2 linked regions of the Xenopus tropicalis genome follow. The protein of the gene in region 1 purifies or fractionates together with the protein of each later gene. This does not show direct contact. Links are inferred from orthologs where the notes say so. Each region holds a gene or a part of one and is shown in the gene's direction. Other genes may lie near its edges.

Region 1 (9,085 bases):
ATTGCTGTGGGTGTTGGGGCAGTGTGTGAGGCTCAGCTGTATGTGTATGGCTGTGGGGTGGCTTAGGGCAGTGTTTGGGAGTTTCCTTAAGTATGTAAAAGGCTGTGAGGGGTTAGGGCAGTGTGTGAGGTCCCTAGATATATTTGTGTATATTACAGTGTGGGGGGGGTTGGGCAGTAGATGAGGACCCTATGCAGGCTCATGTCCATGGGGGGGAGATGTTGGGGCAGTGTAGGACCCCTAGGTAGTGTGTATGACCCCATTATGACCATAAAAATATCTCACACTGCCCAAACCTTCCCTATGGTCATACATACTATAGGCCCCACAGTTTTGCCCTAGCACTATTACAGTCAAACACATACTAGGGTCCCAGCACACTGGCTCAATCCTGCATTGCCACCATCCATAAAGATATCTGGGGTGCCCACATGGGCCCAACTTCCCATATGGTCATACATATATTTATTACCCTAAATACTGCCCTAAATACTGCCACCTACCTAGTGTTCCAGCACACAATTTCAACCCACGCCCATAAACATACCAAGGGGGCTCACACAGCCCAATGCTTCCCTATGGCAATACACCTACCTATTGTCCCTAAATACTGCACCACACCCTTGGCCAGAAACTTACATTGGGGCCCTTCACATTGCCAAAAAGCATGGGCATACACATGCCTATGGGTTTACACAGCCCCAACCACAAACTGGCTACAAACTTACATAGCAAATCCACAAACTACCCCCAAATCACCACACTGTCCTAACCCTCTATAGCCATGAAATTACATAAGGTTCACACACTGCCACAACCCCATAGGGTTCCCACAGGCCTGGACAAGTTGCCTTTGCACTTCAAGTTTGCAGAGGTAAATCCCCCAGAGACCCACTAAATAGTGACTGGCATCTCCCAACACAGCCACATACTATACCTAGTGGCCCCACAGTGAGACATAATGTGGCAAATTCTGTGGAGGTCACAGGCTTTTATTAATTGAAACCATAAAAATTATATATAGGTACACCCTGACCACAGCTGCGGCTCTTATTTCCAAACACAAAAACTATTGTGTCTCCAAAAAACCAACGTGGGCGCAATGCCTCAGTGATCTTCATGTGTTCCTTCAGCAAAACAATCTGTTGACATGCAACCCCTGTGTGCTCAGATGCCCAGAAAATAAAAGAATGCCCCAATATCAAAATGTTGCAAGCCGTTGCACCTCCTACTGCGACAAAAAACAAACAAAAAACTTTGGTTAAGACTTCTCACTTGTGTTATTTACAGGCCTTATATACTTCTTGTATACCCTCGACTTCCATCTACCCAATGCTTTTATCTTGTCACTTCTACCACCCCCCATTGCAGCTTCAGTTGCTGCGCAGATTCTAAAAGAGTGGGTTCCAAACTTCTTTGGGGCCCAACCATTATCGATCACCGCCTTCTTCAGAACTTGCCTAAACTGAAAGGCTGAAAGAGGGGAACCATCTTTATGCAACAACAATAGCTGCCCCCCCTCCGGACGCATCGCCATGTATTCCCTTAACAGCTTTACTGGGTATGATACTTCCCCTGTTCCCTGTATACTTACCCATTTTCCTTTACCCATTTGATCTGTCTTCAACCTACTAATATAAATCAACAATTTATTCTTTTGTAATGATACATTCTTGTATTGCAATCCTTTTTCTATTGCCTTCTCCCGATGTGGTCTGATCGCTACCCACATCCCTAACTCCACCCCTTGCGACCCTTTCGTGGTTTGCGTTGGTGACAGTGGCAGCCTTCTTCCGGCCTTTTCCCCAGCACCGGACGTTTGGAGTTCCTCTCCTCCTGCAAAAGATACCTCACCTTCCTCTTCCGCGTGGTTCCTAACAACAACTCCCCCTGCTCCCCTCCATCCCGGAACCTTTTTGGCCGAAGGATCTTCCTCCTGGGCAATTCCACTCCTGCACCAATGGCGTCCATTATCATACCTCCCAACATTTGAAAATCAGAAGGAGGGACAAAAATGTCTGCCACGGCAAAATTTTTTAGGTCATGCCCACTTTATGGCCACGCCCCCCCCCCCAAACAGGCCCATTTTACAAAACCACACCTGAAAAGCATAACATATACAAAGTGCACCAGAAGACAGACACGGTGGCCCCAATCATTTTATGACATATTGTGGCCCTAAGGATTTCATTATGCACTGTGGCACCTGTATTTAATGACAGACTCATGACAGACATTGGTAGCCAGGTGTTATGTTTTGCATTGGCGCTAGAGCAGGGACCCCCTAAAACATTGCTGGTCCTCCCCCAGTGTCCCCCTACTATGGGCTGCTCCCCACTGCAGAATCCACCCAACATCCTCCAGCTCCCCCCAGCATCCTCCCCAACATCCTTCAGCTCCCCCCAACATCCTTCAGCCCCCCCAACATCCTTCATTTCCCCCCAACATCCTTCAGCTCCCCCAACATCCTCCCCAACATCCTTCAGTTTCCCCCAACATCCTTCAGTTCCCCCCAACATCCTTCAGCTCCCCAACATCCTCCCCAACATACTTCAGCCCCCCCAACATCCTCCAGCTCCCCCCAACATCCTCCCCAATATCCTTCAGCTCCCCCCAACATCCTTCAGCCCCCCCAACATCCTCCCCAACATCCTCCAGCTGCCCCTTACCTTCCTCCAGTGTCCTCCCCAGCATCCCCCTGCTCCTACCACCAGCTTCCTCGGCTGCGCCCCAGGGCTCTTCTTCTCATCCTTGTGACGTCACACGCACGTCTCCCCTTAGCGCCGCAGCTTCTGCACTGTGAATGGCTTTTTGTTAAAACTGAAGTGAGCGGTGCAGAAGCTGCGGCGCTAAGGGGAGACATGCGTGTGACGTCACGGGAGCGGAGACCTTTAAAAAGCGGGACAGATCCGCGCCTATCCGGGACAGTGGGACAGGGTGGCAAAATCGGGACTGTCCCGCGTAAAACGGGACAGTTGGGAGGTCTGCATTATTCAAGCGAAAATCACTTCTGCTGACTGATGCCTGCTGCTGATCCAGACTCTGCCAAATCCTCCACGGGCACCGATCCTGAAACAAGAAACAAGTAAGAATGTGGCCTTAACAAACATACATCCCATTACATACCTTGCTCTGCCTAAGTCCCCTCCCCTAGCCCACCCCTCTCTTTCCCTCCACTGCTCATCCTTCTATTGTTCTACCTGGAGCTGGCCGGGGGAGGGAGCAGGCCCTGCCTGAATGACCATATGGCTAAAGGGGGAAGGGGTCCCAGCCTAACTTCATTTCAGCCCTATTTGGGCTTCATTCACACTATTAACCATAATACTATCTGCGGTATAGCGTAAACATTCGCTATTTTTCTTCCAACTAGTTCATCGACTTAAAAGGTATACAGTTCCTTTATACATTAGGAACTAGCTGCCGCAGGGAGGACACATTAGTTTTAGTCACACTGTTCCTCTCCCCTGCCAGTAGCCTCTTTCCAGCCCACAGTCTGGCAGAGACTGTACCGAGCAAGGCTTGGCTGAGTGCAATGAACGCAGCCTATCCCATCAGCAGCCCAATCCCTAAGGGTGACCAGGAGAACCAATCCGCTGCCTGTTTACATGGTGCTCTGAAAAGGAGAGGGCTGTCCTCAATGAATAGAGTTGGGAGGAAACCTTCCTTGCAGTCTGCCTGATTGTGTCCTGTTCTGCAACAAAGGAGGAGAAGTGTAAGTGACAAAATCTTATTTCCACGAGTGTCGGGACGCTTTTGAGTGGGGTTTGGGTGGGCCCGTGGAGTACTAACTGGTTGGAAGGCATCAGGCAGCGTTTTTGTTCCAAGGGGGCCTCTCAAGGCTGCTCTGTACAGCTGTGCTTCAATACCGTGCTGCTGGATGGTGGTGCTCAGACACTGCACATCCTTACACTCTGCATTGGAACTGCTGCTGCTACTTTGTCTTTGTGCTGCTTGTGAGCCTGACTGGGTAGATGAATTTAAAACCAAAACAAAGATGTATTGTTACAAAAATGCAAGTTGGTTTAATTCTTATTTTTCTGATTGGACCGCTGGTGCTTTAAAGCAGAGATTGCTGTTCTATATTGTCATGTTAGGTGCCTGTAACAACTAGCCAACCTGGCCCTCCAACTTGGACTACAGTTCCCAGCAGGCTCATTGAAATCATACTGCATACAATATAGGGCTGCAAACTGCTTTAATACTCAGATGTGTTTGTAAAAATTACTGGATTACATATTATTCTAATGCGTTCGTTCAGAATTATTATTATTTTATTTTACCAAATATTTCCACTGTTTAATGACTTTTCAGAAGTTTGGAGTAAATTACAATGACTTTAAAGTATAGCACCCTCTATAATACATTTTTCTGTCTTAATGTAAATATCAGAAAATGTATCTGCCTGGGCACTAGCTCAAGTTTGCATGCTCTCCCCATGTCTGAGTGAGTTTCTTTGGGTAATCAGATTTCCTGTTACGCTCCAAAATTATACAAGCAGGTTAATGTCAGTTGCATGAGGAGCCAATTAGACTACCTTTATGTATTTAAACTGAGAGAAATCCCACATAGACATGGGATGAACAAAAAGCCTTGAAATCGAATCCTGGACCCCAGCAGGGCAAATATGCAGTATTACCCACTGCAACACCACAGGGCTGATTCACTAAAGTGCGATAAATTTTATCGCACTTTTTTTGCGTTAAAATAGACGCGAAAATTAGCGCGCGATTTACTACAGTATTACCATGTGCGTTAAGTCGCGTATCGCATGCGTTATTTTTTGCGCAACCGCATGCGTTAAATAGCGCGCTGAAAAGAATACAAACGCATGATTCACAATCACTTAGGCGCGCTAAATATCGCATTAGGCTATGCGAAAAATAACACCTACTGGAGGCAGGCGATAATTATAGAAAAGTACAGTAAATGAGCTTTTGGCAATAAAATATGGACTTTGCAATGCTATTTATTCAAGTATGTGTTGGCCCTAGAGTGACGCAGCCTCCAGTTTGCAGGGAAATGGTCATTTTTAATACAGTAATTTTACGAAAGTATTGGCATGTATGGCTAACATGGCGTGCGTTTCTTCACGCGACTATTTATATGCGGCTACAATTGATGAAATGTTTCGCCAGGCGAATTTTTGGACGTGCGACAATTTTTTTCGCGGCAAATTTTTTCATGCGTTTTGCCATTGGCGGATTGTTTTGCGAAACGCATGAAAAAATTCCCCGTGGAAAAATTCGCCGCACGTCCAAAAATTCGCCACGAATCCATGCCTGGCGAAACATTTCATCAATTGTAGCCGCATATAAATAGTCGCGGGCAACAATTTTTTTGCCCGCACGACATTGCAAATTTTTCGCTAAAGATAAGCGGAACAGAGCAGTTACTATTTATAAGCAGCTACTAATTATATGCTACCATTTATATGTGGCGACAATTCATATGCGGCTACTATCTATTTGTGGCGACTATACGCGGGTGTTAATTAGCGCATGTACCGTCAAATACCGAACGAAATTAGTCTTTGCGAGTTAAATAACGCATGCAATATCGCGCGTAAATTAGCGCAAGTATGCTTATAGTGAATCGTGCGATAAGTCGCGAAAATTTAGACGTGATAAAATTTTTAACGCACGCTATAAATAGCGCACGTTTTATCGCACTTTAGTGAATCAGCCCTCATGTGTCAGATGTGATTTCAGAGTGTGCATTTGCATATTTTATGTGCATACTAAACCTTTTTTTATGTAATCTCACACCCAGAAATTGCAATGAACTTTAATAGAAGTCAGTGGCTGTGATTTCTGTTTATGTGTATGAAGTCAGATCTGATTTTCAAGTCTTGTGAAAAACAAAAGTTTTGCCTTTTCATTCATATATGTGAGGTTTCAAACAGCTTTGGACATATGTTAAACTAAATTTAACTGTTAAAGGGATATTGACACTTTTCCACATTTACTAGAAGTGTTCATTTATCCTTTTAATAAACTATCCAGCTGCCTCCCACAAACCCCTGTACCCTTCTTCCTCACTGCGCAACCCATTAGAGACATGTATTGGTCACTGACACAGCTTCTGTCCATGATGCCATAGCAATTGACACTGCACTTGGAGTGCATTGGAAAGCCCTGATAGGCTGAGGCATTGTTTATATTTATACATGTAATGAGGTTCAGTGTGGACAAGTGCAAAGTTATGCAATAGAAATAATATAAACGCAAGCTATCTACTAAATGGCAGTTTGTTGGGGGTATCCTTAATTCCAGCAGAGCTCCAAAAGAGCATTGACTCAAGGGATGAAAACATAATTTTGCCTCTTTATAGGTCCCTGGTAAGGCCTCACCTTGAGTATGCAGTGCAGTTTTGGGCTCAAGTTCTTAAAAAGAGAGTGCAGAGATGTGCAACTAAACTGGTAATGGGGATGGAAGATTTAAACTGTGAGGTTAGACTGTTAAGGTTGGGGTTGTTTCCTCTGGAAAAAAGGGGCACCAGAGGTCACCCATTTAGATTAGAGGAACGGAGCTTCCATTTGATGCAGCGTAGGTGGTTTTTCACGGTGAGGGCAGTGAGGTTGTGGAATGCCCTTCCTAGTGATGTTGTGATGGCAGATTCTGTTAATGCTTTTAAGAGGGGCCTGAATGAGTTCTTGAACAAGCATAGTATCCAAGGCTATTGTGATACTAATATGTACAGTTAGCATTGATGTTTGCATATATAGTTTATGTATGTGAGTGTATAGATAGGCTAGTGTGTGCTGGGTGTACTTAGAAGGGTTGAACTTGATGGACTCTCTTTTCAACCCTATGTAACTATTTATCCTCATCCTATCAAGAATTTGGCCGATCCTGCAAGCGCAACATTGTCTGCTGAGAAATAATGGGCAGAAGTTGAGTGCAAAATTGAATTAAAGAAAGCTTAATATGCACAAAATGAAATTACAAAGGCAGGTGTCCCTGGGTACTGGAGCTGCAGCATGGGTCCGTAATGGGGAACCAGAGGGGCACTAAAAAAAAGGATAAAGTTATATTGACACATTTAATACATGTTTTGTTTATGGGAAATGTATTCCACACAGTGATTAAACAGCCATTGCTGGCCGCAGCCACTTGAATGGCAAACATGTTGCTTATAATAGACACTGGTACTGAAGTGGCAGCACTAGAGCCTGCCATAGACAAGGTGTTTCTCCATGAAAGGACTATGGTAGTCAAAAAAAGTCCTTGTGTCATTAGCCTTACACCTTCACTATTAGGTGGTCAGCTTTGAACATTTTGTTGTGCTTATAAAAATACCCTGAATAATCTCTTCTAGACCTTGAGCCATTGTACAACCACTTTTATGCTGTCTTGTTGACTCTCAAGTATTTGTGTAGAACTGGCATGTGTGATACAGAGAGAATTTGTTGGGAACCTCTAAAATTTACAGTAGATGTACATGTAGTAATTCATGGATATTGTATGCAAAAGTAAACTATTTATTAACATTCTCTTCGCCTATCTTCCTGTAGTGAAGCCCAGAACAAGTGGCTTTTGATTGTCACATGCACCGAGAAAACACTAAAATTATGCCTCAGATTTTTGGAACTGTCTAACCACAAAATAAACATTTCGGAATAAATTTGTTGTATTTTACAGTTTTAGATTTTTGAATTTTTAGGGTGTTCATACATGCCCAGGTTACAACTGTGGTTTCACTGCACAGCGTTGGTGAGTGCATTGTGCATCCACAGATGAGGAAGTAAAGAGGAACAGCAGATCCTCTACACTTCCTGCAGTTCTGAACAATACAATGAGGCAATTCACATGTATGGCTAGTTGTAGGTTCGTGGTCAGCATGCCACGAAAGCATAGCCAGTGAATGGGCATTTACTACTCTTATTCCTTTCTTATAATTGCATGGTTTGTGCTGATATTGTCAAAGACCAAAAGATTATCGGCTACAAAATAGAATTAATGAGTTAAGTAAAATGCAGATTTCCAATCTGTTCAGAAACAGCATAGTTCAGAATCAAATCTTTTCTGATTGATTGATGCTGAGGCATTATGTAACTCATTTTCAAACTGCATGGCTGGCAGGATGTGGTGGTCTAGCATGGTCACATTAGAAAGAGATTTAGGCTGCTTTCTCGAAGGATTATGTGCACTTGTGCTTCCCCTTTTTTAATTTAGCTGCTCAGTGCTTCAAATGGACATTGGCCTAGTTAGCATGGCTTATCTCTATCTGTTCAGGTATCAAACTTGTGTGGCGCCCACGCTGTCTTCCTATTGCTTTAAAAATAAATCCTGTGGCACCTCAATGGCTACAGTGCCATGAGCAGCTAAATAATGTGGTGTGCCCACAATACACATAATAGTACCTTACCAGTAATTGTTGTGGTAGTGTTTGTATATATATATACAATACAACCTTGTGACCAAGGTGGTGGGGTGGCTGACCAAATGTTGAAATGTGAAGGAGAGGGTTTGTGTAGAAGCTAAAAAAAAATAGAGCAATGGGAGAGCAACAACACAAGGCATAGGGGCCCTGAGTGATCACAGAAACGCATATAGGAATGAAAAATAAATGGCAGGTCTGGTGTTTGTTAACACAAAACAAAGGAGGTTTTATGAAAACAGATGCAAAAAAATGCAAGCATTTTGTTGGTTACCATGATGTACTGCATGTGGGCAAACTTTATGCCTTTTATTTCATATTGAGGTAAGCATCTTGTTCCACTATGAGCCAGAACAAACAGCACTTTTCATGTAACAGACCCTCCAGCAAAGAACAGTTAGTGGGTATTTTATGAGCACTGGCAACTAAATTTATCACTTACTACTAGTTCAACATTCCATTTTTTTTTAAACTTATTGGATACTAACTAATTGTTTCCTTTATTGGGCACAAGGCTGTGTGACTGGTCTGAATGGGGAGAAATTTTATTTGCAGAGCACATTAACTCATTGGATCCCAATACTGACCTGGGGACTGATCATTAGCTACCATTTAATATGACAGGCAACTTTTGCTAGAGGGGTTTAACATTGCTTGCATTTTACAATAAAAAGAGGCTGCAAAGAAAATATATTAAATGGTTATC
Region 2 (8,555 bases), about 61 Mb from region 1:
GGGGACCTGATGCCCATGCCCATGCACTGGCTACACAATTAGATGAGGAGGAGGGAGGGGGAAAGTGAGATGTGCAGTGACATCTAGGAAGTGCTGAATGGAAAGCTAAAGTTATTGTCTGCCCCGCCTCTATGCCTAAGGCATAGAGGCGAGGCAAGCAATATATGATTGACAGCTGGGATTTTTGAATGCCTTTATAATGGGTTTGGATGTGTTAATATAAAAATGAATTTGGGTTTCATGTTTAATTTGAACAGGACTTTTATTATACAGCTTTTTATGTCTGGGTGACAGGTCCACTTTAAGATCATCGCACGTAAAACCTATTCCGCTCTGTGATCTGGAATAAATGTGGGAAAAAGCCAGGTTGCTGTGAGTAATTAGGTTTCACTTGCGGCGATCTAACAATGGGCGAGATCTTCTCGTGTGCCATCACCCTTAAGCACTACCCTAACAATCCCTCAGTAAGTTCCATCACCCTAACCAACATTTTCTCTTCCCTCCTGGCAGTTAGAACCTGGTCCTTTAGATGAAACACAGATTGCAACCATTTTACGGGAAATCTTAAAGGGACTTGACTACTTGCATTCAGAGAAGAAAATTCACAGGGATATTAAAGGTAGGTCATTCCTTTTTCGTTATTCTGTCTGTTGTTGGAACTCTGTCTTCATATTCCTCTTTGTATCAAAATAATAGAAGAATGGGGATTATATTCCTTCTGCAGGGTTTACCATTCCATGCAGGTGTTGCAAATGAAATATGGCCATACATGGGCTGACAAAAGCTGTTGACAGACAGAGTAGGCAGGCATTCAGCCCGTGTGGGTCCTTTTGAAGGGCCTGCCCAATCAAAAATCGGGTAGATGTTAATTGGGCAGGTTCGATTTTCCGTCAGGTTGAGGGTATCTGTTGGCATCTGGACTGCATAATGGCCATTATGATCTGGTCGATTGGCCCTCGGGATGGGCATACTGCGTCAGGGGAAAGAACCATTCATTTGGTGACCTGGCCAAATGAGTGAATCTTTTAACTTACTTGCTGATTCTGCCATATTAATAGAATTGCTTAGCAAATGAAATGGATAAATTGTCTTATGTTATATGGAGCCTGAACTGGGGATTCATTTGCATAGTATTTGAAGCACGTTTGAAAAGAGTTCAGTTGGTTTGATTGTTTATTTTGTATGTGTTTCGAATGATACAAGATTTTATTCTGCATAGATCCAGCTTGCAGCAAAAAATTTCTTTAATGGTTTTTATTTTTTTATTGCTTTTTTGTAGAACAAAAAAGTATTTAAAAAATCATAAATAATAAATAAATGAAGACAGTGCTGATGTTCACTTTTTACAAAGCCCCATCAGAGTGCTGGGAATGCAAAAGAAGAACTTTACCCATTATAATGAATTTTTTAAAATGCTTCCTTTATTAATTAAAATGAGGCGCTTACCCAGTTAGAGATCAGCGAGACCGCCAGAGGAAAAGAGAGAGCACAAAAGCTTTTCCTTGAGTGGTACTGCACATGCGCAAGCTCTCATCTTTCTTATGCAGATTAATCTGTTGGCTGCTGCAGCTAACAATAGGCCACACATGTACGGAAACGATTAACTTGCTTTTCAACTGAGAATACTCCTAACTCCCTGCTGCCAATGTTTGCGTGCAGGTGGTGGGTGAGAGGTTGGCGACCCCTTCATCCAGAGGGGCATCACATTGTTGATAAAATGGTAAAAACTATATAGAATAAAATTAATTTTTAAAAAAAAGAATTTTTTGTCTTGCATAGGTGTTTCAGAACCCTTTGAAATTCAGCCAGAAAGTCTGTTGGTCAGGATGTGTTTAAAGCTTAGGTTTTACATGCAGGTTTGTTGCAGCAACTTGGCCTTCTGCATAAACAAACTTTGCTGAGCATTATTATGCAGCTGCTACACTGACACAGTCTTGCTAGACCTTTAAGAATTTGTTCATATTGTGCACGGTTGATTTAAGAATTATGTACAGGACACTTACAGATCTATGAATATATAAATAAGCCTGAGTGTTTAACCCTAAATTTGTCCTGTTCTTTCATCATCAGAAATCATGGCAATCATAACTATACAAAGGAAGTGCCCAAAGCAGTGCAGCATTAACTCAGACGCATAAGTGTATTACACATTTCCGTATTGTTACCATAAATTGCAGTTGTGTTTGGCAGATAAATGGATTCTTTATGTTGGAATGTTTTTGCTCTTTTCCAGCTGCCAATGTGCTGTTATCTGAACACGGGGAGGTGAAATTAGCTGACTTTGGTGTTGCAGGACAACTTACTGACACACAGATCAAAAGGAACACCTTTGTTGGAACTCCATTCTGGATGGCACCAGAAGTTATAAAGCAGTCTGCATATGATTCCAAGGTAAGAGAAGAAGGTCAGCGCTGGTCCATGGCTGGTTTTCCATGCTTGCTAGTGAACATAGAGAACACAGAGAATTTACGCCACAAAGAAATAGTGTATGTGGAAAATGGAGGAGGATGTGTAGATAATTAGATGCAAAAGTGGCTACTGGAGCAATTTCTCTTGTCGCAAAATCATTTTTGTGTTTTATTAGCAAAGATTCACAGGAGAAATTTCAACTGGAGAAAAGATATGAATTCTCACCAGTGTAAAGAGAATATTTACCAGTACAAAGTTTATTAAGAGAAACTTGTAATCTCCTGTTAGAAAATTGGTGAATTTTCATTTTTGGTGAAATTGCTCAAAATTTTGCTTTCACTCTTTAGTAAATATGCCCCACTGTCGGGAGCTTGGAACTACTGCACACATGCAAGTCACAGGCCCACCTTGCTGGCATGTTGCATATGCAGAGGGGAGGATTGGATAAGGCAACATCACTATTATGCCATGGTTACTTTTTCGATTTGGTTGTTGTTGTTTTTCTTCCTCATCACCAGAAACTCCTATAAATCATAAGATCAGTGTGTACTTTATGTGCCCTTTGCAGTGAAATTCAGCCTTGTACTCTTAACATACTTTAGATAAAGAGATCAGTGACAGTTCCTGCGTGTGCCATCGCTGAATTATCTAAATTTTTGAATTAAAAGAGAAAATCTACATGTCTTGTTGCAGCTGCTATGGGTTTCTATCCTTATGCGTTTATTTTACATACAGGCAGATATCTGGTCCCTGGGCATAACTGCTATTGAACTGGCAAAAGGAGAGCCTCCTCACTCAGAGCTACATCCCATGAAAGTCTTGTTCCTTATACCCAAGAACAATCCTCCCACACTGGAAGGGAACTACAGCAAGGGTCTGAAGGAGTTTGTAGAAGCCTGCTTAAACAAGGAGCCCAGTTTTGTAAGTCTGCTGCAATACAGCGCCAATGTTGGACCTTAAATGCTTGTATATAATATTTTCTTAGCCTTTAGACCAGGGATTAGTTTCGAATTATATTATCTAACAGACAGTTGAGAGCATTCTTTACGACCAAGGCTTTATTGATCTTACATAGGGGATTTTTGTGACCCTTTATAACTTTGATTGCTTGACTTTTGTATGCCTTATGTGACACTCGTGCACCTAGGCTTCAGATTGCACTGTGCTGCAGGATCTCTCAGGTAGCAGGCGAGTGTCACCAAGAAGATCCAGGCCACCTGCATTAACTTGTAACATCCACTGGGTCAATAACTTGTGAAAGCAGCTATCCTGATGTTCTCTCTTTGTTGTGTAGAGCTCAATATATTGGCGACTTTCCTCTGCTTTTAATTACTAAAGGGAAAACTGCCCTTGGAGGCATTGGATCTGTTGATTTTCTTACCCCAGTGAAGTATATGCCATAATATTAATACATTTAGCAAACAGGACAGGATCAGCTATGTTCTTAATCCCAGTTCCCTCAAGTTCACAAGCAGCAGCACTGTCTTTATTATGGGTTGATTGATGCTTTCACTTTAGGATTACTAAAGTAATAATTGTACATATCACTCTGCTCCCTGGACTTTTATAGTATCTTTGTAAGGAAACCAGCCCCTTTCACATAAAGCCTAAAATTGTTGGGGGTCAAATGTAGCTTCTGAACTGCCTGATAGCTATGTGGTAGCTGAGCTTCAAGGGAAGCGGCTAGGATTCCTTATTGTGAACTCTGCAATCAGCTTGCATTTAATGTCCTCTTTAAAGTAGAGACTTCTCTTGGCAGCTATGTGCAGCACCTACATTCATATTAATACCGGGAGGATTCATGACTTGCACACATTATGCCATAAAGTAACTTTGTGTCCCTTTGGAGTCAATACACATTGCTATATATTGCAGTGGTAACTCCTACAGGTTGATCTGTTTTATGATATATCAACACTTTTTTCTGGCCGATAACATTATACTGATTGGTAAAATGTATTGACAGTTAGCGTGCTGGCCTGTCAGTTAAAAATGTGTATAATGATTTGTAAAGTAAAAGCACAGAAAGTGGTCTCTTGGACTGAAGGTTAAAGAAAACCTAAATCAAAAGTAAACAGCTTGACCTTCTTACTGAAGATATGGACTCCCACATAGAGATCATGGGGTTTCTGCTAAATGACAAATACTTGGGAGTGGCCGGCTCATAAAACTAGCTGATATCTTTTGTTATACATAACTTATTGCTTGAACCTGTTCTAAATGGAAATATATGAACAATTTTTTTAACCTCTGCCAGAGACCCTCAGCTAAGGAACTGCTGAAACACAAGTTTATTATGCGAAGTGCAAAGAAAACCTCCTACTTAACAGAGCTCATAGACAGATACAAGAGATGGAAGATAGAACAGGGCCATGAAGCCTCCAGCTCAGACTCTGAGGAGTAAGTACCAATGAAATGACTTTGCTAGTGGTTTGGCTTACTTGTATGTAAGGTCAAAGCACTATTAATATTATAATAAGCCACTTCTTGCTCTTCTACATATCTGTGTTCAGCGGCACTAACTCTGTGTCGCTTCCTGAATTGCGTACATTGATGTAGGAAACCCTGAAGCTGCTGTCCCCTTCAAGGGTGCAGTAACCGCAGTGTTCCCATAGTGGCCTGTGTCATTTGATGCAGTGGACTTGCACCTAAAGAATCAGGGCACAGCCATTGTTTTAAAGCAGAGCCCCACCAATGTTGACATCTGAACCCAAAAGATTCTCAGCGCAAGTGTGTCTGATTCACATTGAACTGTACATGCAAAAATATGGCTTGTGCTCAAAATAAGCCCTTTTGTGTTCCTTCTGATGGTGTTTTCATTTAGAATGTGGGATTTATAAAGCAAGAATTGGAAATAGAAACAAAATGGAGTTACCACATGTACAGTGTAGTTGCCTTTGGAAGTGACTCCATCCCCAATGATTATTTCCAAATTTACTTCAGCATTAACTCTGGTGCCTCAGCTCATTAACACTCAATGAATTCCTCCTTTGACCCCATCCTACTGTTCAGTAATAATGAAATGAAATAAGTTGATGGCTTAAAAATACTCCAGAGCTGATCATTTTGTGTTAATACATATGTTTTTTGCTGCTTGCAAAGTAGTGGTTATCTTGGGTCAGCATTTGCTGCTCTGGGGGCTTCTGCAAGCAGTTTCAGTTGTCCCTGACAGCAGTGCAGACTGAGTGTCAAATCCTGGGGATAAGAGAAACTGGTAGAGAGACTGGTTGGGTATGCCAGTAGGAATTACAAATGCAGCTGCAAGCTAATCACCTTTTCTAAAACTGTGTGTGTTCTATGAAAAAATTGAAATAATTATAGTAATACAGGGGAAAATTGATCAGGCATAGAGTGCAGGTTCAGTAATAAGAAATAAACCTTGTATATATGTCTGCCTTTGCCCACTGTAAAGGGAAGAAGTAGATCAAGCTGCTGGCAGCGAGAAGGATTATTGGAACTTCACAAGAAGAAAGAGAGACTTGAAGAACTTGGAGCCCATTCCTGCACAGCCAGAAGAGGTAAGGCATAAAGTCTGAGTCACAAGAAAAGTTCCTATTGTCCAGCCATTATACTACAGTTTATATTAATATGAACCAATGACTTATAATGGTAAGTGCTTGCTACACTCCCCAGCCTTGCTTGATATGGGAAAAACATACACTGCCTATTACTTTAAATCTTATAATAAAGTAAGTGCTTAACAATGTCTCCCTCCGATGCTTTTAGGAGTAGTCAAGGCAGCATAATCCCTGTCTTTTTCATTTATTATTATAGCATTAATTGTATTGATGGCAGTAAGAGTCATGTTCTTTAAATGAACAAGAATGGAAAGGGTTATGTGCAGTACTCACCGTCCTCACTTCTCTTTGCTTGTATGTATATATGCTGTATATTAAGAAATATGAATTTTGTCTCTTTTAAATTAAAATAATCATTCTTCTAAAATGTCTGCTTACTGACGAATACTGATTTATTTTTTTTTACATTACATTTAAGGTTAAAGACATTCCCAAACGGCCATTGTCTCAGTGCTTATCTACAATTATGTCTCCTTTATTTGCAGAGGTAGGTACATTTTGTCTATTCTTTGGCTCATTCTTGTTTTAATGAGCAGCTGCCCCTAAGGGTAAGACTGATGCCACATGGGGCTGATTCTCGGCTTGTTGAAAAATGCAGACCAAGAATCGGCACCCTTCGCTGGTATCAGCTGCCTTCTTTGCCTTCACCTGGAGCCATTGTGTTGCCCAGGGTGCAGGCACATGCAGGAGATATTGGTAAAGAAATGCCGCATGTGCCCAGACTCGCACATTTGTTCTGGGTGCAGCCAAAGAAGAAGGCTGATGCCAGCTTAGGGGCTAATTCTCAGACTTTCCCACAGACCGAGAATCATCCCAGTGTGGCATTAGCCTTAGACTTTTGCATTTTTTTCTACTTTCAGCTGAAGGAGAAGAGTCAAGCGTGTGGCGGGAACGTAGGCTCAATAGAGGAACTGAGAGAGGCAATTTATTTAGCTGAAGAGGCCTGTCCGGGTATCTCGGACTCCATGGTATCACAGCTTCTTATTAGGCTTCAGAGGTGAGAACTAACATTTTGCATGGATTTGTTTCTTGCTGATCACATATATCAATGTGTGCGTGAGTGTTGTGTATTTCACCGTGACCTGGTTCTGCATAGCAATAGTTTCAATTTAGTATTTACCACTTGTTTTGCCACCGGGACACCACACAGTAATAGAGAAAAGACAATTTAGTTGGTTAAGGAGTCAAATTTCACACAATTTAATTCAAAGCTTTATACTTAAATGAAACCTTTGGAGCACACAATAACCCAGACAGTAATTTAACTTAATTGTTTCCTTTGGAGAGAGTGGGACCTACCTAGATTGGATTTGGTATGCCGAATGCTTGGAACTTTTTTTTCTTTGCTTCTGTCTCTTGCTCTAAGGCTAAAATATACTAAAATGATATAGTATATGTGACCCCCCCCCCCCCCCCCCCCAAACTTGTAGGCAATAATGAATAATATGTGGTGCAGATTTCACTCAGGGCTAAAAATGATCATTATCTTTAAAAAATGGCCCCTTTTATTGGAGCTCCCTGTAGATTTGCCCTCTCCTTGTTTCAAATAAGGTGTACCAGAAGCACAGTAGAAGCGGGATAGCCAATCACAGCCCTGCAGTCACACACACAATGGCAGGTTTCAGGTCCTTATCAGTTACACCTAGCTGCTGATTGGTTCCTGTCCTACAATGCAGTGTGCTAAGTGCTTCTGGTTCCTTTGCACAGCCTGGGAAAGGAGGCAGTAGGAAGTGAAACAGATGGGTGGGACTGTTTTTGGAGAACTTTTCAATAAATCAGCCTTGCAACACTTATTTTTAAAGCACATTTCTTCTATGTTTAGAGGAGTATAATGCAGTGGCACATTCTAGTTTTTTACTATGGATGTACTAAATCCAGGATTCGGCCTAAATTCAGCTTTTTCCACAAGATTAGGATTTGGCAGAATCCATGCTCCTGGCTGAACCAAATCTGAATCCTAAAAATCATGTGACTTTTTGTCACATAAACATAGAAGTTGAAAATGTTTCACTGTCACTTTGTGTGCGGTTCTCCTTAACCCTTCCTTTTCCTAATCGTCAAATGCAAATTAGGATTTGGGTTGGTTTTCGGACAAATCTTTCACAAAAGAAGAGGATGGCTTGGTTGGCGGAACCCCAGGCTGGTGCTCCAGACTGCCAAAAACTGCACCGGCCCTGGGTTCCTTCAACCAAGCCATCCTCGGGCAAGTGATTACAAACGCTGGGCGTACCAAACGTTTGGCAACCAAAATAATAACCAAAATAATTGGCTGCCCTTCGTTACTCCTTTCCTATTCTTGCATTACAGGTATTCCGTTAATGGAGTGGACTCTTCCTCGCACTGAAGAATGTTTTCCTCCTTTTTAAGGCAAAAATGGACCTTGCATTATTATCCCTATCGTACTTGCCTCTGCTCATGGATATCACAGGACATGGACATTCCTGAATGATGAGTGACTAAACATAGGGAAATGGTGAAAGCTATAGTTTTTATGATTTTCTTTTCCTTTTTTTTTTTCTAATCATAGTACGAATATATAAAAATGTAAAAACAAAAAACTCTGCAAAG

What was found.
Region 2: the proteins of cttnbp2nl (region 1) and stk24 purify together in Homo sapiens (affinity purification with mass spectrometry; 3 studies listed by BioGRID and IntAct, with this or other methods). This does not show direct contact. The link is inferred for Xenopus tropicalis from reciprocal best matches to the Homo sapiens genes CTTNBP2NL and STK24.

Annotation. Positions count from the first base shown.
Region 1 is NC_030678.2:60,443,226-60,452,310, forward strand, and holds the start of cttnbp2nl (CTTNBP2 N-terminal-like protein), read left to right. Parts: upstream 1-3,246; 5' UTR 3,247-3,712; intron 3,713-9,085. UniProt on the Homo sapiens protein: Regulates lamellipodial actin dynamics in a CTTN-dependent manner. Associates with core striatin-interacting phosphatase and kinase (STRIPAK) complex to form CTTNBP2NL-STRIPAK complexes.
Region 2 is NC_030678.2:121,394,637-121,403,191, forward strand, and holds part of stk24 (serine/threonine-protein kinase 24), read left to right. Parts: intron 1-510; coding exon 511-619; intron 620-2,233; coding exon 2,234-2,391; intron 2,392-3,144; coding exon 3,145-3,330; intron 3,331-4,666; coding exon 4,667-4,809; intron 4,810-5,821; coding exon 5,822-5,927; intron 5,928-6,405; coding exon 6,406-6,474; intron 6,475-6,847; coding exon 6,848-6,984; intron 6,985-8,294; coding exon 8,295-8,331; 3' UTR 8,332-8,555. UniProt on the Homo sapiens protein: Serine/threonine-protein kinase that acts on both serine and threonine residues and promotes apoptosis in response to stress stimuli and caspase activation.